Macaca fascicularis: one gene and its partners. The protein of the gene in region 6 binds, or shares a complex with, the protein of the main gene of each other region. Links are inferred from orthologs where the notes say so. Each region holds a gene or a part of one and is shown on either strand. Other genes may lie near its edges. The genes, in order: TMEM67, CC2D2A, CEP290, AHI1, TMEM107, TMEM216 and B9D2.

Region 1 (2,831 bases), on a different chromosome or scaffold from region 6:
CCTCCTCTTTCTAACTGTATTCTTCCATCTCTCTATCTTCTTCTTTTTTTTTTTTTTTTTGGAGATGGAGTTTCGCTCTGTTGTCCAGGCTGGAGTGCAGTGGCGCAATCTTGGCTCACTGCAACCTCCGCCTCCCAGGTTCAAGCAATTCTCCTGCCTCAGCTACTCGAGTAGCTGGAATTACAGGTGCCTGCCACCACACCTGGCTAATTTTTGTGTTTTTGGTAAAGATGGAGTTTCACCATATTGGCCAGGCTGGCCTCGAACTCCTGACCTCAAGTGACCTGCCCACCTCAGCCTCCCAAAGTGGGATTGCAGGTGTGAGCCACCGCTCCTGGCCTCACTATCTTCGTCTTCATCAAGAGCTGATGAGACTATGAGCTAAGGCAGTAGCAGTGGGGCTAGAGAAGAAAGGATTGCCAGAAATGTTAAGGGAAAAGACTAGTCAAAAATTATCCAGACTTCTGGCTGTGTGACTAAGTGGGTGGTGGTGCCTTTCAATAACAGAGGCAATACAGAAGGAGGACCAGGTTTTGAGGGAAAGAGGATGAATTTAGTTTTCAGTATGTTGCATCTTGAGGTACTTTAGGACATCTAGGAAGAGGTATCCAGTAGGCATTAAATATAAGGGACCAGGTCGTAGGAGAAAGTAGAAGCACACAATAAATTGAGGAGTTGCTATCATATGAAGTCATTGCTGGAGCAGTGTTAGTAGAAAATCACCAAGAGACAGTATGTAAAACAGGTTTATTTTTAAGATTATATATGCAAGTATAATGTGCATATTTTGTAAGGATATAACTTATAGGTCAGTGAATTTTCACAAACTGAATATACCCCTGTAACTAGTACCCTTTCAAGAGAGAACATTACCAGCACTCCAGATGCCCCCTTGTATAAAGCAGATGTTCCTAACTGGGTATCCCCGGGCTGCTTCAGTGGTTTTCTGGATTTCCCTGAAATTGTTGGCAAGACTTGTATATGTATGGTTTTTTTTTGTTTTTTTTTTTCCTGGTGGAAGGGTCTTTAGCTTTCATCAGGCTTTTGTAGTTTTTTGTTTGTTTGTTTGTTTGTTTAGAGACAGGTTTTTGCTCTGTTGCCCAGGCTAGAGTGCAGTGGTGCAATCATATTAATAGCTCGCTATAACCTCAGACTCCTGGGTTCATGCACTCCTCCCATCTCAGTCTCCCAAATAGCTAAGACTACAGGTGTGCACCACCAGATCCTTTTTCTTTTTTTTTGGTAGAGATGGAGTCTCACTATGTTGCCTAGGCTGGTCTTGAACTCCTGGCCTCAAGCAGTCCTCCTGCCTCAGCCTCCCAGAGTGCTGGAATTACAGGCATGAGACACTGTGCCCGGCCTCATCATAATCTTTTTAAAAGGGTGTTCACATCCCAATAAGGATGAAACCCGCTGGTGGAGTGAGAAGAGAACTTAGAGCAAAACCTTAAGGGGACTATTTGAAATAAATTATTGAACTCTTGAACACTGTGTACTATTCTGTGCCTTGCTGGGTTTTTTCTCTAATATACTCTATCTTAGGGAATGTTTGTAAGATTAATTTAGCTTTTAGTTACATAAAGAAATAGAGAAAGGCTATTTATTAACTGGTCTTTGAAACTTACACTACTAGCAGTTACCAACCATTGGTCCTAATGTTAAAACTGCTTTATAGGAGGTGTTATGAGTTTTTTAACTAACCTCTTTTAGATGAGCAAATCTTAAAATTTTTGTTTATTTTTAATTTAATTATTTTGTTTATTTTTGTGTAAGCCATGAATTATTGTATATAGTATGTTTCTAATGTGCTATTTTTAAATATCCAGATTTTGTCACCAGAAATTTATCACAGACTTGTTCCTTTTTTAAATTTCTAATTTATATTTTCTAAACTTTTTTAATAGATGAAGGTTATTCTTTCAGCAGTGTCCTGTATTATGGAAATGAAGCTACCCTTCTTATTTTTGATCTGCTGTTCTTCTGTGTTGTGGATTTGGCTTGCCAAAATTTTATTTTAGCATCCTTCCTTACATATCTACAACAAGAGGTAAATTTTAAAAATTTTTCTACATTTCCCTTCATTTTCTTGAGAGAAATATGTTAGAAGTAGATATTTTCATAGCAGAGAGTAACAATGTCTACTTTTACTACAATTTTGTAAAGGTTTAGAATATGACTAACCCCACCAAAAGGAGGAATAACATTTCAAACAACTGTACTCTGTCCTTTAGGGTCAATGAAATACTGAGGTCTAGTGGAGGGCATCAGTTGCTTGATTATACATGGAAGAGGAATCCTATAGGAAGACATTTAACTACTAGTCTCCTAGATGCTACAAGTGAACAGTAATTAGAGTCCCATCCACCCTCTCCACCAGATGTTAAGTAACAAAAAAACAGGCACTGGAGAGCTAGCTCAGGGCTCAGCACCAAAGGGAAGCCCCCTTTAGCCTGCAGCTTTGACACCTCGTCTACCAGTGTAGATGAAAAGCAACTTTGTGTATGAGTGTGGACCCTGAAATAGAGATCTCAAGAAATGGCAAATCTGTTCTTGAAATGGTGTTATTATCAACTAAATATTCTCCACTATGTCAAAGAAGTATATATGAGTAAGATGCAATTTATTAGTCCTTGACAGTGATCTAGAATTGTGCAGAAATTCTCTCCCTAGCGAGTAGATTCTTTTGATGTTTCCTTAGTTTTAGACTTAGAAGAAAGTTGCCTTTCTAAATATTTTAAAATGTATCCCTGTGAACATGAGAGAATTTGTATTATTAATTCATAAGAATTTACTCTAAATGGGAACATACATTGCTTTGAAACTATGAACAA
Region 2 (3,971 bases), on a different chromosome or scaffold from region 6:
TGGCAGTGTGTAATCTTCCTTCTCCTGCCCCACCTCTGCTTTGTGGTGAGCAAAATCACCCAGAGAAAAACTGCAGAGAAGACAGAAAAGGGAAGCTAGCAAAAGGGGCTACAGAGGATCTAAAACTTTGTTCAAAAAGACTAAATCAACCTTGAAGATGAAAATACTTTAAAAGTGTCCGGGCAGAGCAGAGCATGGACTATAGGGAAGGGGCTTCAAAATGTGTGTGATTTAAAATGTGTGTGATTTTAGGAAAACAGAGCTTCTGGGGCAGTGAATAGGCAAAAGGAAGGGAGAAGTGGCCTTTGGTGGAAAGTGTCATAATCTCAGAAGATGTTCACAACTGGAGACTTCTATCAACAGGTGAAGCCCAATTCTCCTCCATTTGAGAGTGCACTATGCCTCGTGACTTGCTTCTCCTGAGTAGAATATGGCAGAAGTGACAGTGTGTGGCTCCTGAGACTAGGTCATAAAAGGAAGTGTGGCTTATTTTTTGGGTTCTCTCCTAGATCACTTGCTTTTGGGAAGTTAGCTGTCATGTCAGGAGGACACTCAAGCAACACTGAATGAGCTGAATGCTGATTTGCAGAACGATTGTTATAGTATAAGCTAAAATATTCCTGAGCTTCTATAAATCTAGGTAAAAGAAGTGCATTTCTGGGAGGCATTTTTCAAAGGAGGAGATTATAAGCAAAGCAGAGAATTAAGCCAATTATGTGAATACTAGAATATCCTAGGGTGTTTTCATTATTTTTAATGTGGTAAAATATATATAACATAAAGTCCACCATTTTAACATTTTTTTTTTCTTTTTTTTTTTTTTTTTGAGACAAAGTCTTGCTCTGTCATCTAGGCTGGAGTGCAATGGCACGATCTCGGCTCACTGCAACTTCCGCCGCTCGGGTTCAAGTAATTCTCCTGCCTCAGCCTTCTGAGTAGCTGGATTACAGGTGCCTGCCACCACACCCAGCTAATTTTTGTAATTTTAGTAGAGACGGGGTTTCACCATGTTGGCCAGTCTGGTCGCAAACTCCTGACCTTAGGTGATCCACCTTCCTCGGCCTCCCAAAGCTGGGATTACAGGCCACCGCGCCCAGCCCATTTTAACCATTTTTAGGTGAACAATTCAGTAGCATTAAGTAAATTCACGTTGTGGTCCTACCATTACCACCATCTGTCCATCTTCCCAGACTGAAATTCTATGCCCATTAAATAACAACTTTGATTCCTTCCTTTAGTCTCTGACAACCACCATTCTACTTTCTGTCTCTATGATTTTGACTATACAATGTAGCTCATATAAGTGAAATCACAGAATATTTATTCTTTTGTGACTGGCTTATTTTTCTTAGTGTAATGTCTTCAAGGTGTATCTATGTTGTGGCATGTGTCTGAATGTCCATGCTTTCTGAGGGTGTATACTATTCCATTGTATATTTATGTTTATCCATTTATCTGCCAGTGAACACTTGGGTTGCTTCTACCTTTTGGCTTTTGTGCATAATGCTGCTATGAACATTGATGCACAAGTATATGTTCAAGTTCTTGTCTTCAATGTTTTTGGATATATACACAGAGTGAAATTGAATTGCTGGATCATATTATAATTCTGTGGTTAACTTTTGAAGAACCACCATACTGTTTTTCACAGCAGCTGCACTATTTTACGTGGTTGCAAGCAATGCATCAAAGTCCAATTTCTCCATATCCTCTATGACACTTGTTTTGTTTTTGATAAGAGCCATTCTAATGGCTGTGCAGGGGTATCTCATTGTGGGTTTGATTTGCACTTCCCTTATGATGAATGGTGTAAAGTATCTTTTTATGGACTTATTGTCTATTTGCATGTCTTCTTTGAAGAAATGTCTATTCAATGCCTTTGCCCATTTTTAAATGGTATATTCTCCTTTTATCTCACACATACCACCCACAGTTGCAGAATTTGAGTTGTAGCCTGAGTGTGGTGTTTGGGCACAAAAAGCTGCTTACTTTGTAAGGTTGCGATAAGAGAGAGACTGAGGTTTCATTTGCCTTGCAGAGGAACATACTTTGCACATGGAATAAATACTAATCATTTTGTGGAGTCTAGCAAGAAAAATCCACAAGCCACATTATTTAATTTTTTTTTTCACAAAAGAAAGATAAACAGGTTTAATCAAGGTTCTTCTTACCACATTGTAGGGTCTAACCCAGAGCACAGGGAGCCATGTGAATTCAGTACTTGGGATTTCAACTCATGGGGAGTGTCATTTTCCTGGTGGTGGTGGGTTTTCTCCTCAGCCACTTTCTTTCTTGCAGGTATATCACCCTTTTCCTCCTAGCCCTCCACCCACACATTACCATCCTGATATTAAATACCATTTCCTTTCCTCTTCCTCGTGCAGGTGGTTCTTCTTCTTCCCCTTCCTCCTCCTCTTGATTAGTTCCCGCTCTATGTCTTGCTTTTGGCTTTTCCTCTGATTCTTCTGGTTCGGGATCAAAGCTGAAAGTAAAGAAGTTGTAGGCCTCTTCTGGAGAAGGGAAGCCAGGTGGAACCTAACGAAAAGCAAGGAGCAATCGCAAGTTCCCATTTATAAGCTGTAATGGGCTCTGCACAATTAACTGACAGCTGGCTTGATGCTAATGGGATCAGGCGTATTCCAGGCCTCCGAAGCATACTGTCTTAGTTAAAGGTGTGAGATTACTGGTAATAAACTTTAATACCTGCCACAGGCAGTGGGAGGCCTCCTTTAATAGTAACTCTAATCAGTGACTTTTAAAAAAACCCAGCAATTATTTACATTCCAATAAGTACATAAATATATTATTTATAGTAGTAAACACTTTAGATAAGGTTATTAAAATGACAAACAGTGGATTTATTGTTTTATCAGCCAATGCTGAGATAGTTTTTTGTTTTATTATGAGAAATACAGAAATTTTTAAACAAATGACCTTTTTTTGTTGTTTCTCTTTTTGAGTTAGTACTCTCCTTTTTTCCTGTAATGAAAGCTGGGGCAACTTCAGAGCTGAACAAATTGTCTCATCACCAACATTTCCTGTCTTTCCATGCACCCCCTCTTCCTCAAGTCAGGGAATATTCTGATCTCTCCAGCTAGTATGAAAGTTGGAATCACTTCTCATACTTTTTTCTTGCAGACTGCATGGCAACAGGAGTCAGGTTGTGTATGTAGTCATTTATTTATTTTTAATTTAGAGATGAGGTCTCACTCTGTCACCCAGACTGGAGTGCAGTGGCGCAATCATGGCTCACTGCAGCTTTGACCTCATGGGCTCAAGTGATCCTCCCATCTCAGCCCCCCAAGTAGCTGGGACCACAGGCATGTGCCATCATGCCTGGCTAATTTCTGTATTTTTTGTAGAGATGGGGTTTCGCCATGTTGTCCAGGCTGGTCTTGAACTCCTGTGCTCAATCGATCTGCCTGTCTTGGCCTCCCAAAGTGCTGAGATTGCAGGTACGGGCCACCACACCCGGCCTGTAGTCATTTCTCATTGGATATTTGTAAAAAGCACAAATGAACAAATGGTTTAAAAAGACAAGATTTCTCACCTGGGGTTTAGGCTTGATTTTTCGTGCAGAATCACGGAACTTGACTCTTGAATAACTTCGGGAATCAATTTCTTGTTGAGTACTTTCTACCTCTTTCCCTGGCTATATGAGTGGAAAAAAATGATGCATAAGCCATTTAAACCAAGAAACTTAGGCTGTTCTAAAATGAAGGTTAACCCCCCTGCCCCAAAGGCTTATCTTCTGACTGCTGTTGCATCTTATCATTCCTAAGGCATGGAATGCTGGCAAATTTCAAATGCAGTCATGCCCTCCATAGCGACAACCTGCAGAACTGCATGCATGACAGAGGTCGTACAGACTATAAATATGGTATTTTTACTCTACCCTTTTTATATTTACATAAAAAAATACTTACCATTGTGTTACATTGCTATGGTATTCAGAAAAGTAACATGCTCTT
Region 3 (3,971 bases), on a different chromosome or scaffold from region 6:
TTTTATTATATTATGAGTTATACTGTTTCATGTATTAGTTTTTTTAAGCAAATGCTAAATATTTTACCTTAAAGTGGTAGTTATTTTCTTGCTTTCAAATGATTCTATTTAAGAACTGTGACTTGCATGTGATTGGATTACACCTCTATCAGTAAAACTGGCAGTTTGTGTAAATGTATCTCTCTTATACACTGACTAAATAAACCAGGAGTAGCTATCATGGTGAAATCACATGATTTTGAAAAATATTTTAATTTAGTTTATAGGTGAGGGTTGAGGCAATAGGGGGGAATGAAATATATCACACTGGTAATCAGTAGAAATCAGATTTGTTAGAACTTTGTGGGGGAAAGCTGACATTTAATTTTTTCTAGAAATAAGTTAAAAGATGATAGATACGTGTTATTCTAATGTTCAGAATAAATTATGAACTGAGGCTGGGCCTGTCAACTTGAACACTGTGCGAGGGAACATGCCTACCGGTCTAAATACATACATATATGGAGATACTGTTTCTTCCTCATCTCGAAGGAATTTTAGAAGATTAAAGAGAAAATATATAAGGTCTTCAAAATGTGAATTTATTTTAATCACAATTTAAGATATAGTTTTGATTTTCTTTAAAACAGGAGCAAAGAGAAATTGTGAAGAAACATGAGGAAGACCTTCATATTCTTCATCACAAATTAGAACTACAGGCTGATAGTTCACTAAATAAATTCAAACAAACAGCTTGGGTAAGATTCTAAGAACTTTGTTCCATTCTTTATTGATTTTTAGACCAAATACATTAAAATTCAGTTATCTTCTCCTTTTTTGGAATACAAGTTACGCTTTTTGTTGCCAAAGTAATCTTCTGAAAATGTAGCTCTGATCATTCTTCCTCCTGTAGCTCATCACTGTTCACAAAATTATATTTATACTCCTTACCCATATACTCAATCTTCTATGAACTTACCTGCCTTTCTTTTCAAATTCTATTCACTATAAGTTTACCTATATTTAACTTCCGGAATTCAGCTCATATTTGCCTCTTTTGACCATTCTGTTCCATATGTATGAAATGATGTGTCTTTCATCTTTTAATGTATAACCTTAGCATATTTGAGCCTTACTTCATTAATTCAGTCAACATTTATTGATCTCCTGCTACATGTAGACACTTTGTTAGCTATTGTAAATACAAAGAATAAGGTCTATATTTCCTGTCTTCTTTAAGCCTTCATTATCTGTTAAATCATTAAATTTTAGATTAGATATTGTATTTTGATCATTTGAAGAACCAATTTAAAAATATAGAATAAGTATGGCATTGAAATATACATGCCTGTTTGCTAATATATTCATATTTTATAGGATTTAATGAAACAGTCTCCCACTCCAGTTCCTACCAACAAGCATTTTATTCGTCTGGCTGAGATGGAGCAGACAGTAGCAGAACAAGATGACTCTCTCTCCTCACTCTTGATCAAACTAAAGAAAGTGTCACAAGATTTAGAGAGACAAAGAGAAATCACTGAATTAAAAGTAAAAGAATTTGAAAATATCAAATTACGGTAAGTCTTCAAAATGTATTGTAAAAATAGGCAAATGATAATAATGATATAATGAAGATAAACATAAGTGTTTGCTATGCTAGGCACTGTTCTAAGACTTTTAAGTATATTGTCTCATTTTTATCCTCAGGTCTACTGATTACATATGTTATCATTTTCCCCATTTTATAGAGAGGATATGACCTCAGGAATGCTTAATAGCATGCCTGGGAGTAGATGGGAAAGCCATAATTTGAAACTAGTCAGTCTGACTCAAAAGCCAATACAAATTCTTTTCCAGAATCTCATTTTTACCTTATTCAAACCTCAGTTTCATCTTATTTATTTATTTATTTTTATTGTTTTATTTATTTATTTATTTTTGAGAAAAGTCTGGCTCTATTGCCTAGGCTGGAGTGTAGTGGCATAATCTCGGCTCACTGCAACCTTGACCTTCTGGGCTCAAGCTATCTTCCCACCTCAGCCTCCAGAGTAGCTGGCACTACAGGCAGGTGCCACCACACCTGGGTAGTTTTTTGTATTTTTGTGGAGACAGGGTTTCTCCATGTTGCCCAGGCTGGTCTCGAACTCGTGAGTTCAAGTGATCCGCCCACTTCGGCCTCCCAAAGTGCTGGGATTACAGGCCTGAGTCACTGCACTTGGCCTCATCATCTTTAAAATGGAAATAGCAGTACTTACCCTGGCCCTTTCAGGGTGGTTATATGAAGGTCAAATTATACCATGTATGAAAGTAATTTGAAAACTGTCAAATAACATACAGATAAAAAACTTTTGTTTGCACACTTATAAGAGTGTCTGGCATATAATAGAGATTCTAACATTGTTCAACCAATTTATCAGAACATAGATTTTAAGCTCAAAATAGGTTTATAGTTTCGTAGTTTCTAAACATTGTAGTATTATCTGTATGGGCCTAAATTTTATTATCTGAAAAAACATGAGAAAGTTGAACTACTTGACTTATAATTCCATTTCAGCTCTCAAGCCCCTATTAGAGCCTTTGATTCTTTACACTCTTATTCAAATGCCTATGACAGAATTAACACTATTTTTGTTTTACTAGGGAGCTGCCACTGTTAAGAAATTACTTTCTAAAAGAAGGAAAATTGGCAGCAGCATATGTGTATTTTCAGTCTCTTTTCCTTGCTCTATTAAATTTTGTACATGAGATGTTATTTTTGGTCTAGTAAATTTCTGTCATGTTTTGGAGTATAAAATGACTTGTGCTTTTGCATCCAATTTGTGGGTGTAGAAAATAATAATCTTTTGAAATACCTTATATAATTTTTTTCCACATGAAATAATTGAAGTTATTGTTGTGTACCTTATCATGTCATTGTAGCCCAAAATTGTACTTGTGTTCTCTGTGTGCCCATTTTGATGTATATTAGGAAATTATGGATCCGTGTGATTACTTAAGTAAAACCTGATATTTTCACAATTTGATGATGACTCTTTAAAGTTAGACTTAAGTTTTGCCAAAAGCAAGAAGCCTCAAAGAATAACATTTGTTCATGTGTTAATGCTGTCTCCCTCTTACTGGTCAGAACCTCAGTACGGATGCAGTGTCCATATGCACAACAATATATTAATTCAGTTTAACAGACTTAATGCTGAATGAGCAATAAGATTAATTGAATTAACTAAATCTTTTAATACTATCCACTTCCATATATATATATAGTTACAGATACAATGCTAGTGAATTTGTACCATAAACAAATAAATAATACATGTGATTTCTGTGAAAATTTATATTAGTCTTTTCAATATGTCAATATAGGGCAGTATTTCTCAAATATAGAGGATCAGTTTTTCACAGTTGTACCTCTTGGGGACATTTGACGATGTCTGGAGACATTTTTGATTGTCATGGCTAGGGGGTGCTACTGATATCTAGTGGGTAGAATCAAAAGATGCTACTAATCATCCTATCATACACAAGGCAACCCCACTAACAACAAAGAATCATTCACTCAAAAATGTTACTAGTAGTGTGGTTAGGAAACTATCATATAGAGGAAGCAGTCAAATTTTACAAGAGCCATAGTATCTAAAATGCCCTTTTGTTCATTCTCTATATTATTTGATTAGAGTCACAAAATAATTTGATAAGATTGTTGCCAAAAATATTAGAAACTAGAAGAAAAACGTGTTGTTAAATTAAAGAGTAGTTAAGTGAAATAAAGAATTACTCTTCTCTGGATTTGGCTGCCTGCATCAAGATTTAGATTGTAAGGATAGTTAGGACTGAACATTTGCTCTGTGTGAAATTTGTATTAATCAAGGTATTAATTGCAGCAACCACTCTATTAATTACATGTGTTTGGCCAGGTGCGGTGGCTCATGCCTCTAATCCCAGCAGTTTGGGTTTATCAGCCGAGGCGGGCTTATCACCTGAGGTCATGCGTTCAA
Region 4 (4,666 bases), on a different chromosome or scaffold from region 6:
GAGTCATAACTTCCCTTTGGAAAAGCGGGTACTTAAATGCAGTTGTGAGGACAAATGAAAACTACATAAAACACCTACAATGCATAGCTCCTAGAAGGAGCTCAATATATGTTATCCATTATTCATTCAACAAATGTTCATGAAATGCCAACTATTTCATAGATACTGTGGTAGATACTGGGGATAGAAAAAATACAATGTAAACTATGAAAATATAGAATGAGTATGTAAAGTCTAATATACGGAATGAATATCCAAAATCTAATAAGGAGTAGGAGTATTTGAAGGAGTCAGTCAACCTGCTTAAGATTCGAAGGATGGACAACATTTGACTGTGATATGCAGTAGTGTAAAAGGAGGAATTTTCAGGAAGAGAGAACAATATGTGTAAGGACAGGGCGTGCAAGGCTATGGATTGTTTTTCATAGTACACATAATTCAATGTTGCACAAAACTGCATGATACACATGATTCAATATTGCATAAAATTGGAACAATAAGCTAACGAGAGATGAAATTAGTCAGGGAGATGGAGCATCTTGTATCCTAGGCAAAGCAATCATTTTCTCTTACACGTTGCCTTTCAAGAATTTTCAGCAAGAGAGAGCCATTATCCGATTTACATTTTTAGTCAGGACATTCTGATAGCAGTGTGGGGAATTTTAAGAGTCAAAACTGGAGTCACAGGACTGGTAAAGCGCCCACCTGAGGAATTTAAAAAGAGAGAATGAATATGCTTTGGTATAAGATGCATTTAGGATACTCTACAGTTCTTACTAAAACACTGGGAGCAAGTGTTTGACACTTGATAGTGCAAGATTACAGCAAGATAGTGGTGGCTTACAGCAAGATAGAAATCTAGGAGAGTAGGTTTAGAATGCAAAGTTGAACAGCTCAGTTTGGTACACAGCGGATTAGTAATCTTTCTCGTTGCTTCCTCAAAGGATTTAGGGAAGCACATGGCATAGAGATATAGTTTGTAAGGTGTGGCAATGCCAGTGAGAATGGAAAAGCTGGCCTCCGTAAACTCTCTCTCTGTACAAACGAAGCAACAGGTTACAGCGCGTGGCTGTAGGTACAGGAAATGGCGTGTATTCATGAGTCCACGAGTAGCGCAACTAGTATTTTTCCAGCCCTGGTGACTCAGAGCTGAAGATGGCGCCTGCGGCAGAAATCAGAAAAGTGGGAGGGAGCATTAGGTACAGAAAAGTATGGCGTTTTAACTTTTGTTTTCCACACACAGGGAGATAGCTCTAAAGGAATCGTGCATAATTTTTTCTTAAGATTTTGTCTGTAGTACAACTTCATTTTCCACGCTTTAAAATCATGTTTTCTTTTGTGGGCGCGACCGCGTGGGGAGTGACAAATCTGTTTCTTTGCCTCATTCATTGATTTTCTTATTTTGGGCGACTTCCATAACAGCCTCCCCAGTTTTCCTTTGCCCCGTCAGTTTTTCCCTGCGCTTGCTACAATTCTAAGGCGGAAAGAGTATTTTTGGAGGTGAGGGCGGGGAAGACTCAAGCTCTGTGGGAGCACCCGCGCATTTCCGACTCCCTTCCCGCTCGCACGGCCTCGGAGGCTGGAGGCCGGTAAGGTCCCCGAAGCGCGCGCCCACCAACAGCCTGAGGGCCCCGGTGCAGGCGCCGCGCGGCCCCTTCTCCCGGGCTGAGGCGAAGGCGGTGGCGGCGCGGGGACGGGGGCGGGGGCGGGGCCGCGGTCCGGGCCTAGCGCGCGAGACGCGTCGGTCGCCATGGGAACGGCGGTGTAGGCAGGCGCTGACGTCAGCAGGCCGCGAGTCGTCCGCACTGCGGCACAGAGCAGTGGCTTGCTCTCCGAACCCGGGTCGCTGGCGGGTAAGGTGGCTTCGTGGCCGCCTCACTTAGCGCCCGCGCCGCTGGGCGCGGGGGAGTCGATTTGCACTGTTCCGGGTGTCGGCTTGGGCGGGACGGACGGTTCTGCCTACTCCTCCTCTCCGTAAGTACCTCGTGGGTTCGCTGGTGGCGGGAGCGCGGGCCGGGGTGCTGGGCCTGCCCGGCCCTCTCCGGGGCGGCGTGTCGGGGCTGCTGGAGTCCGAGAGCGCGGGGGCTGATCGCGGATTGACCGGGGAGCGTGGGCCGGGTGTCCCGGAGGAATGCGATTTCCCGGAGTCCTCAACGTACTTTTCCGCTTCTTTCACTGGTCTCGGTGTCTCCGGAGAGTTGAGCATGGTGTTCTGATAGGGAATTCAATCTTTGCCTTTCCTACTCCCGATTCTTGTTTAAATGCTTTTAAATCAGATGCGTACTGAGTGTGTTTATTTCCTTTTAGAGTGTCATCCTGGGGCTGAATCTTCAACCTGTCAAAGCCTACTTAATTACGTCTGAGAAAAGGTGATCAATTTGTTAAACTTATAAGAGCCAGATTATATTAATAGGGTTGTTTCGAGATGCATAAAAATAGAATAAAAATGTAGACCATTTAAGCATCCTTATCAAAGGTTGTGCTGCGTTTGGCATTCCTGTGAAAACATCTAATGTGAAAATAAAGTTTTTCCCTTTTGAGAAAGAGATGCCAACAGTTTTTTCACCTGTTGCATTAGCAGTTACTGTTATTGCTTGGGTTAGGAGGAAGATTGCTTCTTATGAGTACTCTGGGAAATTTTTTAAAGAATGCTTGAAAAAATTAAAATACCAAAAGTGTTATTAAACCATACTTAGAATCTTGTTTATGAAGAATAATATTTATGAAGTTAGAATCTTGTGTACTTATGAAGAATCTTGTTGATCTATTCATTGAATTTTGTGTACAGGATTTTTGTTTGTCTTTTTTTCCCTTGCGATAACATTTGGTTAAAGAGGGAATTATCAAGCCTCTCAATTTTTTCTCCCATTGATATTGAGTCACATATTGGCTGATAATCAGGTGGTCTGTAAAATAAAATGAGATGAGGTGTAATCCATTTAATTTTCCTACATAGTATCTCTTAGAAGCTCCTGTGAAAGGGTTTGTGAGGGAGAAGTTGTAAAATAATGGAATATATAAGATTCGGAGGTGTCTTTTAAAGTCCGACCTGAATTTTCGCAGATAATGTTACTAATTAAATATTAGTCATTAATTCTATCATATGTTTGCTGTAGTACACATTAAGATTTAGAGATGGCTGGGCACAGTGGATCAGGCCTGTAATCCTAGCACTTTGGGAGGATCAAGAGTGGGTGGATCACTTGAGGTCAGGAGTTCAGTATCCGCCTGGCTAATGTTGGTGAAAACCCATCTCTACTAAAAATACAACAATTAGCCGGGCGTGGTGGCGCACACCTGTAGTCCCAGCTGCTAGGGAGGTTGAGGCAGGGGAATTGCTTGAACCCAGGAGGCGGAGGCAGCAGTGAGCTGAGATTGTGCCACTGCACTCCAACCTGGGCAACAGAGCAAGACTTTGTCTCCAAAAAAAAAAAAAATTAGAGATTATTTCTATAATGTATTTGCTGTGTTATTAAATAATATTAGTATTTATTCAGTTGTGTATTAAGCTATTAACAGTAAATAATTCTATGATTTCTGTATTTTATTAATAATTACTTATTTTTAATACAATAATACTGGACATAAAGTAATTTTATTGCAGTGTACTCATTACTTTGCTTTTTGGTATTTTCTCCTTGCAGTACTAAAACAGGTGCCATTTTAAATTCCCAGACAAGGAAAAACCAAGGATTAGAAATTAAGTAGCTTACCCAATGCCACACATCAGTAAGTGGTGACACTGGAGGTCAAACCTGAGTCTTTTTTACTCTAGGACCGTTGCTACTGCTTCGCTTTGCTTTGCTTCTCGTGTTTTCTCTTCTCTCTCCTCTTTTCTTTCATAGTGCCAGATACATAACTATAGAGAGCATTGGCGTGGCCTCCAAAGCTAGCAGTTTGGTGGGAGACAGAACATTTAACCAGGATGAAAATTCAGGGCTGAGGTAGAGGGAGTTACAAAGATTCAGGCATCCTGGGAGCACAGAAGAGAAGTGCTTCACTGCCCTTCAAGGTGCGAATGCTCTCTAGAGAAGATACTTGCCTTCAAAGGATAATGAGGAGTTTGTTAGAGTGACAAAGGAGGAAGGACATTTTTCAGGAGAGGGGATATATGTGTAATGATACAAAAGCAAGAGAGGACGTGGCACATGTGAAGGCCTGGAGGTAGTTTCACATGGCTGGAACACAGCGTATGGTGTGAAGGGGACATTTCATAAATGGCCTTGGACCTCAATGGTAAGGACTTGATATTTTTTTCAGTGTGTGATTGGGAGCTAGGGAAGAATTTTAAGCAAAGAAATGACACCGTCACATTTGAATTTTAGAAAATTACACTGATTGCTGTATAGATGATGATTTATTTTTTAAAAGGGTAAGGTGATAGTGGCATGGAAACAATCTTAAAACAAACAGCATAATCCTTCCACAGTGTTTTTGTCCCAGAGTTACTGTCTCATGTCACTGCCTTTAGGGGTGGTGGAAAGACAGTTGGAAGAATTCTGTAAAGAATTGTCTACATGTCCCTTCTACAGGGGTCACCTTCCATTCACCCCTCAGCCCCAGCCTGCTAGGTTTCTGCCCCTCCATAAACAGCTTTGACACACGTGACTTCCTTCTTGCAGATTCAGTGGACTTTCTTCAAAACCTCCAGCCCCTTTTGATGCCA
Region 5 (4,610 bases), on a different chromosome or scaffold from region 6:
ATTATAATTCTAGCGTTTCCTTTTTTTTTTTTTTTTTTTTTTTTGAGACGGAGTTGTGCTCTTGTTGCAGAGGCTGGAGTGCAATGGCACGGCTCACTGCAACCTCCACCTCCCGGGTTCAAGCGATTCCACTGCCTTAGTAGCTAATCGAGTAGTAGTAATCGAGTAGCTGGGATTACAGGCACGCGCCACCACATCCGGCTAATTTTGTATTTTTAGTGGAGATGGGGTTTCAGCATGTTGGTCAGGCTTGTCTCGAACTCCTGACCTCAGATGATCCGCCCTCCTGGGCCTCCCAAAGCGCTGGGATTACAGGCGTGAGCCACTGTGCCTGGCCCGCGTATCCCTGTTTGTAGCACCTATTATCTTACGGATTTATTTGTTTGCATGTCTGTTGTTGATCTCCCTGACTAGAATACTATTACTAGGTAATAAATAAATATATAAAAATATTTGTTGAAGGAATGAGAAATGCCTCTTGGGCTTGTACTTTAGTCTGGCTAAAGGCACTGAGACGTCGAGTGGGAAGTAGGAAGATATTGTTCTCCTGGGAAATGGGCCGGGAGTTTCCTTGAGGATGGGACTTGACTGAGCAATTAGAGAAGAACTTTCAGATCTGCAGGGACCTGCGCTGAGGCCCAAAGGTCATGACGTCGCCGGTGATAAGAGCTTCCTGGACTGTAGCTGGGCAATGTCGGAGGTCCAGCACCTCCAAGAGATAAAGAAATCTAAGTTGAGTTTCCCTTCCCGTAGGCTCCAAGCCTCCCAGAGACGCAGGGACTGTACCATTCCCTTCGTCCACTCCCACCTTTCCAGCCACCTTGCTTTGCTCTTATTCCCACGCTAGTTTAAGGACGCGGACCACTTTTTGCACTCTGCAAATCCTTCACCAAACTGAGCAAAGTAGTCTGAGAGAAATCAGTCTTCCTCAAGGAAGGTTCAGGCCTAGGGTCCTCAGACAACCAGGGGCTCTGTGACAATCTGTAACTGCCGAGCAGTCCAGGAACACCGGCCTCTCCACGTTCGGGTCCCTTGTTTCTCAGGCCCAGCTTGGTGGGAAGTTAAAGGCATGAGGAGAGGAGGAAGGGGAGCGGGTGTGAGTCTTCGGCATGGCGGGGACCTCAGCCCGGCGTGGCGGTGGGAGTGATCTCAAGTGATCCACAACTGGGCAGCGTAGCTGGGGCTGGGGGCCGCTCCCGGCGTGGGCAACCGCGGAAGCAGAGGTGTCCCCAGGCTAGGCCAGGGTGGGTTTCCGTTCGTCGGCCCTGCGTGGGCAGATCGGGCGCTGCGCGGCTGTGCCACCCCTCACCCTCTGAGAAACAAAGGGCCTGGCTGCGCACGGGTACCCAGCCATTGGGTTAGAAGCTCCTTCGGGTACCCCTGACCTGAGTTAGCCCTGAAAGACCCACAGCAGATGGAGAATGTACTGCTCTCGCGAGGTTTTCCGAGAACGCGGCAGCACGCCCGCGTACGCGGTTACCAAGGCAACTGGGCGGTGCCTGAGCTGGCGGAAAGGAGGAGTTCGTCTAGATTTGTCCGCTTGCTGGTGGACTTGCGGGAGTCGCAGTCTCTGAACTTCCAGCCTCAGAGACCGCCGCTCTTGTTCCCAAGGGCCATGGGCCGGGTCTCAGGGCTTGTGCCCTCTCGCTTCCTGACGATCCTGGCGCATCTGGTGGTCGTCATCACCTTATTCTGGTCCCGGGTAAGACCCACGGCTGCCCTCCGTCCGCCCCCATTCCCATCTCGGAGTCGTCCCCGCCCCACCCTGCCCCTCTCCCAGTGTCTTACCCACTTGGGTTTTCTCGTGTTCCGCCGTCCCTAGGCCTGCCCAGCAGCCTGCCCCTTTTTCACTTCTCTTCCTCTCTGCCCTGCTCCCAGGACAGCAACATTCAGGCCTGCCTGCCTCTCAGGTTCACCCCCGAGGAGTATGACAAGCAGGACATTCAGTGAGCTCTTAGGACGGGGTGGCCAGAACGAAGAGGTGGTGGGAGTGGAGGGGTCTTAGAAGAAGTCCAAAGGCCTGAGCCAGTCCACTTCCTCTCTGCAGGCTGGTGGCCGCGCTTTCTGTCACCCTGGGCCTCTTTGCAGTGGAGCTGGCCGGTTTCCTCTCAGGAGTCTCCATGTTCAACAGCACCCAGAGCCTCATCTGTATCCTTTCTGCCTGCCCACCTTTCCCACACGACCCATTTCTATCAGGACTCCCTTCAGCCACCTGACACAATAGTGTCTGCTGTAGCCAGTCTCTCCAGTTCAAAGATCTTCAACCATGTGCTAAATCCTGCTGTTTACTAGGCACTTAAAATTCCGAAATGAGAGTAAAATACAGTTTTTGGCCAGGCACGTTGGCTCACGTCTGTAATCCCAGCACTGTGGGAGGCCCGCGCAGGAGGCAACATAGTTAGACCCCGTGTCTACAAAATAAATAGTAATAATAAAAACTCCACTTTTTTTTTTTTTAACCATGAGGAGGAGGTAGATACACATCTGTAATTCAGTGTGATAAGCAGTGTGCTATGGGAGTGTGTAAAGATAGCACAGGCAGGGTGCGATGGCTCATGCCTGTAATGCCAGCACTTTGGGAGACCGAGGCAGGTGGATCACCTGAGGTCAGGAGTTCAAGACCAGCCTGACCAACATAGTGAAACCCTGTCTGTACTAAAAATACAGAAATTAGTCGGGCGTGGCGGTGCACTCCTGTAATCCCAGCTACTCAGGAGGCTGAGGAAGGAGAATTGCTTGAACCCAGGAGGCAGAGGTTGCAGTGAGCTGAGATCGTGCCACTGCACTCCAGCCTGGGCGACAGAGCAAGACTCTGGCAAAAAACGAAAGATATAAAGCACATTGGGAACTCAGAAGAGGCAACGGAAGCCAGGCACATGGGTCAGAGAATTGTGGACCAGGAGGACCAGGACACTGGAGGCTGATTCCAGCGCATATCAAGTCGCTGTCAGCACTCCTGTGTGGCATAGCAGGAGAGCCTACTCTTACCTCTCATCTGAAGGATCCAGGCTGGCCCCTAGATATGGAGTAGGGTAGCCTGAGATCCCATCTGCGCAGTCACTTCTGGTCTCTCCTCACATGACTGTCCTAAAATTCAGAAGTCGGGGATGCTGACTCTAGCCCTTGCAATATGGTGAGGGAGCAAACGATGAACCTGAATGCAGATGCCAACCCCACCACTGGCCTTTGGCCTTTTCTGACCCCTCACTATCTGTCGATCCAAAGACTTTCCTTAACTCTGGTGCCTTCCCAAGCCATTGGGGCTCACTGTAGTGCATCCGTGGCCCTGTCCTTCTTCATATTCGAGCGTTGGGAGTGCACTACGTATTGGTACATTTTTGTCTTCTGCAGGTGTGGTAGCATCCAATATTCGGGAATGAGGGAGGAAGGCTGACCCTAAACCTGAGGGTTTTTCCCCCACCCAGCCCTTTCCTCTATGTGTGAGATACCAGATCCACTTAACATCCTGTAGTCTTTTGAATTTTCATTCCCTACCCCATGCCACCTGTCCTACACTTTCAGGGGTGGGGTCTCTGGTTTGGAGATTTGGGTATTTATATTGAAAGGGTTTCTGAATTTACCACTTGCCTCGGTAGTGCCCTTCCAGCTGTCACTGAAATGACTTTATTCGTCACCGTCTTTGGGCTGAAAAAGAAACCTTTCTGAGCACCTTCATGACGGGAACCTAAGGACGAAGGCTACAGGGGCAAGGGCCGCTTCGTATTCCTGGAAGAAGGAAGGCATAGGCTTCGGTCCTCCCCTCGGAAACTGCTTCTGCTGGAGGATATGTGTTGGAATAATTACGTCTTGAGTCTGGGATTATCCGCATTGTATTTAGTGGTTTGTAATAAAATATGTTTTGTAGTAAGATTAAGACATATACAGTTTTCAAGGCACAATTGAGATGGCGAAACTACTGAAGAAAAAAAAAGAAGCAACGTTATTTTCTAGTTCTGCAGACCGTAAGATACTTGGTATCGCTTCTATTTTGGTTATTACGGTAGTTGTCTGGCGGAAGGGAGTGGGCGGAGATATGTAAATAGAAAGTGCTTACAGTTAGAACGTCCAGCACGTAAATGATCGGAGCATTCTGGGAAAAAGAAATGTATTCCTTTTCGGCAGCCGAATGAAAAAATTCTTTTAAAAATGTGCAAGCAAATATGGCAATACAACTGGAAGGATGCTAAGTAGTAGGGTTACTCATACCAACGCGTCGTGAACTCACCCTAGCTGTAAACGGAATCTTTTTGACTGAGTGCGGAATGTCGGCTCTTTAGAAATATCGTCAGGTGGGATAATCCTTACCTGTTCCTCTTTTGGAGGGCAGATGAGAACATGATGATTGGAGAATGCATGAAACGTGATTAACGTCTCTGCGTAATCAGGACTTGCAACACCCTGATTGCTCCTATCTGATTCTTCCTGACGATCACTTACGTTTCTGTTATGTTGATTGTAAGTTTAGTTAATGTAGTTATCATGCGGTGCAGGGAATAGTTTCTGTATTTCGCTATTTTGTGATCTCGCCAAATTTTATCTGGTTTTGAAAATTGTGAGTTGTATTTGTTGCTTACTGGGACTTAGGAGGTAGGATTGTGCAAATGGACTCC
Region 6 (2,702 bases):
GTGCACACCTGTATTCCCAGCTACTTGGGAGGCTGAGGCAGGAGAATCGCTTGAACCCAGGAGGCAGAGGTTGCGGTACGCTGAGATCGTGCCACTGCACTGCAGTCTATCCAGTCTAGGTGACAGAGTGAGACCCCGTCTCAAAAAAAAAAAAGCCAGGCATGATGGTGTGTGCCTGTAGTCCCACCTACTTGAGAGGCTGATGTGGGAGGATCGCGTGAGCTAGGGAGGCAGAGGTTGCAGTGAGCCAAGATCATGCCACTGCACTGCAGCCTGGATGACAGACTAAGACACTGTCTCCAAACTTTAAAAAAAAAAAAAGTTAGTTTAGAATACGCTTCTTCCAGTTACACATGGCCCACTGGAAAAGAGCTAACAATTCCCTGTAAGAAGAGTGAGACCAGATGCTGACTTTGGGGCAGAGTGAAGCAAATAAGCAGTCTTTTGCATGATGAGAGACTTGAATAAGATACAGAGGATGGCAGTGCATTCAGGGTTTAATTTAGGCTGCAGCTTGGGGAAGAAAATCAGTGGTCATCACTGCCTTTGTGTGCACACTGTATCACTAAGCAAAGCTCCTGAGAACAAACCGCTGGGATAGTCACGACCCTCTCTTGGAGTAGATGAATTCTAGGGACAGGTGCCATAAGGAAAGGCTGCAACCCCCACAACAGAAAATACATATTTATTAAAAATAAAGTTAGTTACATGATGACAGTAGAAAAATAACACTATGAGCTACTAAAAACGTTCTGGAAACTCAGTCTCCGAGGACTGGGGTGAGAGGCTTTCGCATCACTCTGGAAACCCACCAACATGAGGCTCTCTGTGCTCATGTGGGACAGGTATGGCACAACTCGTACAGGGAGCATGTGGCTCAGGTCCTGCTTGAAGCCCAAGGAGCCTAGATGGTCCACACGAGATGCTCTGGCCACGGTGATCAAAGAGGAGAACTTGAGGTCAGCAGGGGACTGGTTCTGAGAAGGGGCAGGATGGGAATAACCTTGCCCGTCCCTATGCTGGAGTGTAGAACAGTCTCTCGGGTTGATGTCCTGGTTTAGAAGATGGCACCCACTGGCCTTATGCTGAGTTGCTTGCCCAAATGTATGTGCTGAAGAAAAGCCACACAGCCTTTCTCAGGATAACTTGCCCCACCAATTCTCACTGGTGTGGCTAAAGTACCAGAAGCAATATGTGTGGTGTCAGCCTGATGGGCTGCTGGCTGAAATTCTGTACTTCAAATTCTGTCCATACTGATGGCAGAAAGAAAGAAAATGTTAAAAGACCAGTGAATGAGAGTAGCTGGCCTCAACTGTTCTATATTCCAAGTCTCCTGGCCCCAAAGAATAGGGAGAGTATCCTCCCTGAGTGGGAATCGATCTACCTACCCTAAACAGGAAAGGCAATCCACTAGCCACCCCTTTCCCCCACTAGAGAAAAGTCTTCTAGATCCCTTAGGCTTCAGAAGAATACTGAATCCCTCCCTGGGATGGGAACCCAACCCTCTGGTGATGAGAAATGGTCCCTCAGCGAAGCAGTACCTGGAGAAAGCAGCCAAGGTGAGCACCTCAAGTAAAAGCTCTGAGCCACAGAAGAAGAGCAAGATGCCGTTCATGATGGCTTCCAGGCGGAGTACATAGGTCTGCAGCAGCAGGTAATAGGAGGCCATCATGGCAGATGGGAAGGTCAAGGCCACGCTAATACTGAGTGGCATCTTTCGTTGGCAAAGGTTTCCCTTTGTACCTGTGTCAGACAGAACCCATGGAGTCATCTCCAAATGGTCTGCTTTTCCTGGCCCAGGGGAAAGATGTGGGATATGTGATGGAATGGCAAGGCACAAAAAATGATCCTGAGTGGGGTGCACAGATTTATAAATGGGGTCCCACTGTACTGAAAGTTTGAGGCTTGGCAGAGTTACAAGATTAAAGTCACTTAATCCAGAGGTCCTGCTTCCAGTCTGGTCCCCACTCAAGAGACAATGGGATCTTTATTTGGGAAAAAAATTTTTTTTTATTATAAAAATAATATATAATCATTTAAAAATTTTTAATGGCCGGGCACGGTGGCTCACGCCTATAATCCCAGCACTCTGGGAGTCCGAGGCGGGCGGATCACAAGGTCAGGAGATCGAGACCATCCTGGCTAACACAGTGAAACCCCGTCTCTACTAAAAATACAAAAAAATATAGCTCAAGCCTGTAATCCCAGCACTTTGGGAGGCCGAGACGGGCGGATCACGAGGTCAGGAGATCGAGACCGTCCTGGCTAACATGGTGAAACCCCATCTCTATTAAAAAATACAAAAAACTAGCCGGGCGAGGTGGCAGGCGCCTGTAGTCCCAGCTACTCGGGAGGCTGAGGCAGGAGAATGGCGTAAACCCGGGAGGTGGAGCTTGCAGTGAGCTGAGATCCGGCCACTGCACTCCAGCCTGGGTGACACAGCGAGACTCCGTCTCAAAAAAAAATAAAAATAAAAATAAAAAAATAAAAAAATTAGCCAGGCGTGGTGGTGGGCACCTGTTCCCAGGTACTCCAGAGGCTGAGGCAGGAGAATGGTGTGAACCCAGGAGGCGGGGCTTGCAGTGAGCAGCTATCATGCCACTGCACTCCAGCCCGGGGAACAAAGTGAGACTCTGTCTCAAAAAAAAAAAAAAAAAAAAAATTTCAACACAGAAAATAATTTTTGAGTATATAGAAAGTGA
Region 7 (4,766 bases), on a different chromosome or scaffold from region 6:
TGACTTAGGTGTTCACAGGGTTCCAGATGCATGTGGGCTGCAGACTAGGAGGGTTGGGAAAGGAGACCCCAGAGACAAGGTCCCTGTCATAGTCCAGGTGATAGATGAACTTGGACAGATGAAGGTGTTGGGCGACAAAGAGGTGAGAAGTGGATTTTAGGGTGCATTTCAAAAGTAGAGACAGTTAAGATTTCCTGATGGACAAAATGAGGGCTTGAGAAAAGAGAGAGCAAGGCTGGTGCCACCACTAGGGGACCAGAGGCCCCAAGAGCTGAAAGGTTAGAGCTGTCTTCCTCACCCACACAGCATCCAGAAAGATATAAAAAACCCATCTCTACTAAAATTACAAAATTAGCTGGGTGTGGTGGTGTGCGCCTGTAGTCCCAGCTACTTGGAAGGCTGAGGCAGGAAAATTGCTTGAACTGGGAGGCAGAGGTTGCAGTAAGCTGAGATCGCACCACTGCACTCCAGCCTGGGCGACAAGGCGAGGTTCCATCTCAAAAAAAAAAAAAACTAAACTAACAAAAATCCAAAATTATAAGGAGGGGGCAACATTTCAGTAGGATAACATTTATATTAAACAATTCACTGGAATATTTCACTAGTTGATATATGCATTATTTTGTTTTTTATTTTTGTAGAGATGGGGGTCTCACTATACTCGACCTTCTGGCCTCAACAGCTCTTCCCGCCTCAGCCTTCCAAAGGGCTGGGATTACAGTCATGAGCCTAGCCAAGGGTGGCTTTTAAATACTCGTGTCTATTGGCCTGGCTGGGTGGCTCAGGTCTGTAATCCCGGCAGTATGGGAGAGCAAACTGGGAGGCTAGCTAGAGCCCAGGAGGTCAAGACAAAGGCTGGGCAACACAGCAACACAGCAGGACTCCATCTCTTAAAAAAAAAAAGAATTAGCCAGCCGTGGTGGTGCATGTGTGTGATGCCAGCTACATGGGAGGCTGAGGTAGGAGGATCCCTTGAACCCAGGATTTCAGAGGCTGCAGTGAGCTGTGATCAAGCCACCGTACTCCAGCCTGGGTTACACAGTGCGACCCTTTTATGGAGTCTTGATGGGACCTGATGACTGGCTTGATGTGGGAAATGATGGCATCTATGATGGCATCCAGGGACATCTCCATTTCTTGATTGAGAAATCAATCAATAGAAAAGAGGATTTTCTGCAAATAAGGGGATCCCAGTTCCTCATTTCTCTTCGCTACCCCAACGGTTCCTTGCTCAGACTCAAGCAGTTTAACAGTGAACTTGGTAGTAGCTTGGTAGAAGTTGGGTAAGTCCAACTTCCTTCCTTGTCCTTGAAAAACCTAGGGGAACTCTAAAACGGAAGCAGAACCCACTCCCCAATTTCTCCACTCTCTGTGAATGAGGAGTGATTTTTTTTGCTTTGTTTTCCAGTTATGAGGTAGGGGATGTACATGAGGTCCTGGAAGGAATTCCTCCTTGGTCATAGTTCAGTCTCTGATTTGTGATCCCGGACCATAGAGAGCTCTTCGGTGGGGTCCTCACGCAGCACGGAGCAGTTACGGATTTGCTTTTTTTGGTAAAGAGGACATCTGGGAGAAACTGCACTCAAACTTCCTCAGCCACACTCAACATGGCAGCTTCCTAGCCACGGCCAAAATGGCGGAACCCTTTGCCGTAGCTGGAGAGACGCTATTTTCCCAAAATGGAGCGAGAGGAGGAAAATGTCCATCACAGTTTCACCCCGCCTCCCGGGGACGGCTAGCACCAATCAGTGGCGCGGAGGGCGAGTACAAAGCCAGGGGAGGAGCCTGCTGTTGCTCCAGCAACAACCACGGAACCCAAGGCGAGCGCGGACGCGGAATATCGCGGATTCCATTTCTCGCAGCCGGGAAGGTCCTGGGAAAGGCGCGAGCCAGGCCTGGTAGGCGCCCGCGGAGAAAAAAACGAGTCAACTCAACCCCATGAACTACAACCCCCGTTGCCGCTTTCGCCCCTCCTAACCGTTAAGTGCGCCAAGGTAGGAATAACGCATGCGCTGCGCTTGGAGGCGTGGCTAAGTCGGCCCGGAACTCAACGCATGCGCCTTATAGAGCTTGCTGGGTGAGGGAAGCGGGGTGGCTGACATGACGCGGAAGGCGGGTCTTTTCGCTCGTGGGCGGGGCTTTCCGCTGACCTGAACCCAAAGAAGGTATTTTAGACCTCGCAGAGTTAAATGCTGGTTCCCCAGACAAGGGTCCCCCCATTTTTTCCAGGCTTTCATGGGTTGGCAATTAGGATCTGTGGTCAAGACCTCAGCCTCAGGGGTGTGAGGAAGCTAGCTTGGAATCCTAGTACTACCCTTTACTTGCTGGGCCTCAGTTTCCCCTCCTGTCAAATGGAGATAATATACTTACCTCACAGGGTTGTGATTATATTTTTTCCCATCCCAGGGCCATGGCTGAGGTGCACGTGATCGGGCAGATCATGGGGGCCAGCGGTTTCTCGGAAAGTAGCCTGTTCTGCAAGTGGGGCATTCACACAGGTATTCCCCCAGGCCTGGTTAATTTCCACACCAAGACCCCTAGCCTAGAGGCTGCATGCTCCTTCCTCGACCTGTTAACGCAGCGCCTTAACCTCATCTTCCATCAGCTCTCTGTACTCCAGGCTTAGCCCACACCCTGTCCACGTGAGTCTCAAGCTCCCATCTGTTTTTTCGTTTGTGCAGGGGCTACGGACAGGGTCTCTCTCTGTCGCCCAGGCTGGAGTAAGGTGGTGTGATCATAGCTCACTGCAGCCTCGAACTCTTGGGCTCTAGTGATCCTCCCACCTCAGCCTCCTGAGAAGCTGGGCCTACAGGCACGCACCACCAAGTGTGGCTAATTTTTAAACTTTTTGTAGAGACAGGGTCTCGCTATGTTGCCCAGGCTGGTCTCAAACTCCTGGGCTCAAGCAGTCCATCCGCTTCAGCCTCTCAAAGTGCTTGGATTAAAAACATGAGCCACCACATCCCAGGAAAGTAATTTTGTTCATGCTTCCCCAACTGAGGCCCTGTAGAGTCATGGTATAGTGTAATGGTTAGGGCCATGGGCTGCCAGATCTGGATTTAAATACTAACTCTCCCTTCTATTAATTGGAGACCTTTGGACTTGACCTCTCTGAGCCTCAGTTTCCTTGTCTGAAAGTGAAGCTAATAGCAGCCAAGAAGCAGCACAGGTTTGAGGTTAAGAGCACAGACTGCCTGGGTTCAAAACTAGTTATTGCTTGTTAATGCACCCTTGGGCTGATTATGTGACCTTGGGCACTTCTCTTCACCTCGACTTCTCTGTTTGTACAATGAGAGTAATAGAAATATTTACCTGTTGAAGTTGTCATGAGTACTAAACAAATATCAACAGCACTTAGAATAGGAATAGGGCTGGAATATGAAGTTCCCATTCAGTGTTTGCCTGGCTCATACAAGACTTTGATGGGGTCTTGTTTGTAAAGCCTGGGGTATGTTGTTGCCTGGCACAGATAAATGTCCATGAAACAGATGTGGCCATTGGGCATTATCATGTCTTCAGGCCTGAGTCTTAGTCCCTTTTTTTTTTTTTTGAGATGGAGTCTCTCTCTGTTGCCCAGACTGGAGTGCAGTGGCGCAATCTTGGCTCACTTCAAGCTCTACCTCCCAGGTTCACGCCATTCTCCTGCCTCAGGCTCCCATGTAGCTGGGACTATAGGCACCCGCCACCATGCCCGGCTAGTTTTTTTTGTATTTTTAGTAGACAGGATTTCACTGTGTTAGCCAGGATAGTCTCGATCTTCTGATCTCGTGATCCACCTGTCTCGCCCTCCCAAAGTGCTGGGAGTACAGGCGTGAGCCACCGCGCCTGGCCGTTTTTTTTTTTTTTGAGACAGAGTCTCACTCTGTCGCCAGGCTGGAGTGCAGTGGCACAATCTCGGCTTACTGCAATCTCTGCCTCCTGGGTTCAAGTGATTCTCCTGCCTCAGCCTCCCGAGTAGCTGGGATTACAGGTGTCCACCACCACACCCAGCTAATTTGTGTATTTTTAGTAGAGATGGTGTTTCATCATGTTGGCCAGGCTGGTCTCGAACTCCTGGCCTTAAGTGATCCGCCCGCCTAGATCTCCCAAAGTGCTGGGAGTACAGGTGTGAGCCACTGCCCCTGGCCTCTGGTCCTTTTTGATTCTACAGGTAAGTGAGGTAGAAGTTGAGATTCCCAGGAAATCAGGACCCTCCAGTTGATGGAAGAGAGGCAGACTCTGGAGTCAGACTTGGTTTCCAGGTTCCACCCCACCACTCACCTTCTCTGTGACCCTGGGCAGATGCCATCCCCTCTTAGAACCTCAGTTTCCTCATCTGTTCTTCATAGGGCTTTTGGGAAATCTTGCTTTTAAGCAGCCTGACTGAGGGCCTGGTGCTTCCCTCACTCAGCCCAGAAGGGAGTAATGACTAACCTGATTTTTATTACTTCAGGGAGTTGCTGGGGGTGTTGACCCAGCCAAGAATACTGAGGCAGTTGGATGAACGGCTTGGGCTCTGTAGTTAGAGCTGAGTCTGAATCCAGTTCCATGATGGGACCTTGGTCTGCTATAGTCACAGCTATGTCACCAGCATGGAAAACAGTGCTTGGCACACAGCAGGTGCTCAATAAATGTTCATGAACTTACCTTTTCAGAGCCTGTTTCTTTACCTGTTAAATGGGGATTATATTAGCTCCCAACTCCTAGGATCACTAATTTGTCCAAGAAACATTTATTGAGCACCTTCTGTATACCAAGAGCTGGGTTTGTGGTCTTGGAGATCCAGC

The links.
Region 1: TMEM216 (region 6) and TMEM67 share a complex: the UniProt entries of both Homo sapiens proteins name them as parts of the tectonic-like complex. The link is inferred for Macaca fascicularis from reciprocal best matches to the Homo sapiens genes TMEM216 and TMEM67.
Region 2: TMEM216 (region 6) and CC2D2A share a complex: the UniProt entries of both Homo sapiens proteins name them as parts of the tectonic-like complex. The link is inferred for Macaca fascicularis from reciprocal best matches to the Homo sapiens genes TMEM216 and CC2D2A.
Region 3: TMEM216 (region 6) and CEP290 share a complex: the UniProt entries of both Homo sapiens proteins name them as parts of the tectonic-like complex. The link is inferred for Macaca fascicularis from reciprocal best matches to the Homo sapiens genes TMEM216 and CEP290.
Region 4: TMEM216 (region 6) and AHI1 share a complex: the UniProt entries of both Homo sapiens proteins name them as parts of the tectonic-like complex. The link is inferred for Macaca fascicularis from reciprocal best matches to the Homo sapiens genes TMEM216 and AHI1.
Region 5: TMEM216 (region 6) and TMEM107 share a complex: the UniProt entries of both Homo sapiens proteins name them as parts of the tectonic-like complex. The link is inferred for Macaca fascicularis from reciprocal best matches to the Homo sapiens genes TMEM216 and TMEM107.
Region 7: TMEM216 (region 6) and B9D2 share a complex: the UniProt entries of both Homo sapiens proteins name them as parts of the tectonic-like complex. The link is inferred for Macaca fascicularis from reciprocal best matches to the Homo sapiens genes TMEM216 and B9D2.

The regions. Positions count from the first base shown.
Region 1 is NC_088382.1:103,464,460-103,467,290, forward strand, and holds part of TMEM67 (meckelin), read left to right. Parts: intron 1-1,904; coding exon 1,905-2,047; intron 2,048-2,831. UniProt on the Homo sapiens protein: Required for ciliary structure and function. Part of the tectonic-like complex which is required for tissue-specific ciliogenesis and may regulate ciliary membrane composition.
Region 2 is NC_088379.1:14,667,804-14,671,774, reverse strand, and holds part of CC2D2A (coiled-coil and C2 domain-containing protein 2A), read right to left. Parts: intron 3,653-3,971; coding exon 3,551-3,652; intron 2,536-3,550; coding exon 2,359-2,535; intron 1-2,358. UniProt on the Homo sapiens protein: Component of the tectonic-like complex, a complex localized at the transition zone of primary cilia and acting as a barrier that prevents diffusion of transmembrane proteins between the cilia and plasma membranes.
Region 3 is NC_088385.1:95,016,337-95,020,307, reverse strand, and holds part of CEP290 (centrosomal protein of 290 kDa), read left to right. Parts: intron 1-629; coding exon 630-737; intron 738-1,356; coding exon 1,357-1,556; intron 1,557-3,971. UniProt on the Homo sapiens protein: Involved in early and late steps in cilia formation. Its association with CCP110 is required for inhibition of primary cilia formation by CCP110.
Region 4 is NC_088378.1:39,537,131-39,541,796, reverse strand, and holds the start of AHI1 (jouberin), read left to right. Parts: upstream 1-1,791; 5' UTR 1,792-1,974; intron 1,975-2,307; 5' UTR 2,308-2,369; intron 2,370-3,845; 5' UTR 3,846-4,236; intron 4,237-4,666. UniProt on the Homo sapiens protein: Involved in vesicle trafficking and required for ciliogenesis, formation of primary non-motile cilium, and recruitment of RAB8A to the basal body of primary cilium.
Region 5 is NC_088390.1:8,261,097-8,265,706, reverse strand, and holds TMEM107 (transmembrane protein 107), read left to right. Parts: upstream 1-1,490; 5' UTR 1,491-1,615; coding exon 1,616-1,702; intron 1,703-1,878; coding exon 1,879-1,946; intron 1,947-2,029; coding exon 2,030-2,148; intron 2,149-2,988; exon of another isoform or gene 2,989-3,087; intron 3,088-3,254; coding exon 3,255-3,351; intron 3,352-3,596; coding exon 3,597-3,666; 3' UTR 3,667-3,868; downstream 3,869-4,610. UniProt on the Homo sapiens protein: Plays a role in cilia formation and embryonic patterning. Requires for normal Sonic hedgehog (Shh) signaling in the neural tube and acts in combination with GLI2 and GLI3 to pattern ventral and intermediate neuronal cell types.
Region 6 is NC_088388.1:12,645,493-12,648,194, forward strand, and holds the end of TMEM216 (transmembrane protein 216), read right to left. Parts: intron 1,792-2,702; coding exon 1,542-1,791; intron 1,254-1,541; coding exon 1,238-1,253; 3' UTR 670-1,237; downstream 1-669. UniProt on the Homo sapiens protein: Part of the tectonic-like complex which is required for tissue-specific ciliogenesis and may regulate ciliary membrane composition.
Region 7 is NC_088393.1:48,503,050-48,507,815, reverse strand, and holds the start of B9D2 (B9 domain-containing protein 2), read left to right. Parts: upstream 1-1,798; 5' UTR 1,799-1,898; exon of another isoform or gene 1,899-1,994; intron 1,995-2,118; exon of another isoform or gene 2,119-2,165; intron 2,166-2,406; 5' UTR 2,407-2,410; coding exon 2,411-2,498; exon of another isoform or gene 2,499-2,642; intron 2,643-4,766. UniProt on the Homo sapiens protein: Component of the tectonic-like complex, a complex localized at the transition zone of primary cilia and acting as a barrier that prevents diffusion of transmembrane proteins between the cilia and plasma membranes.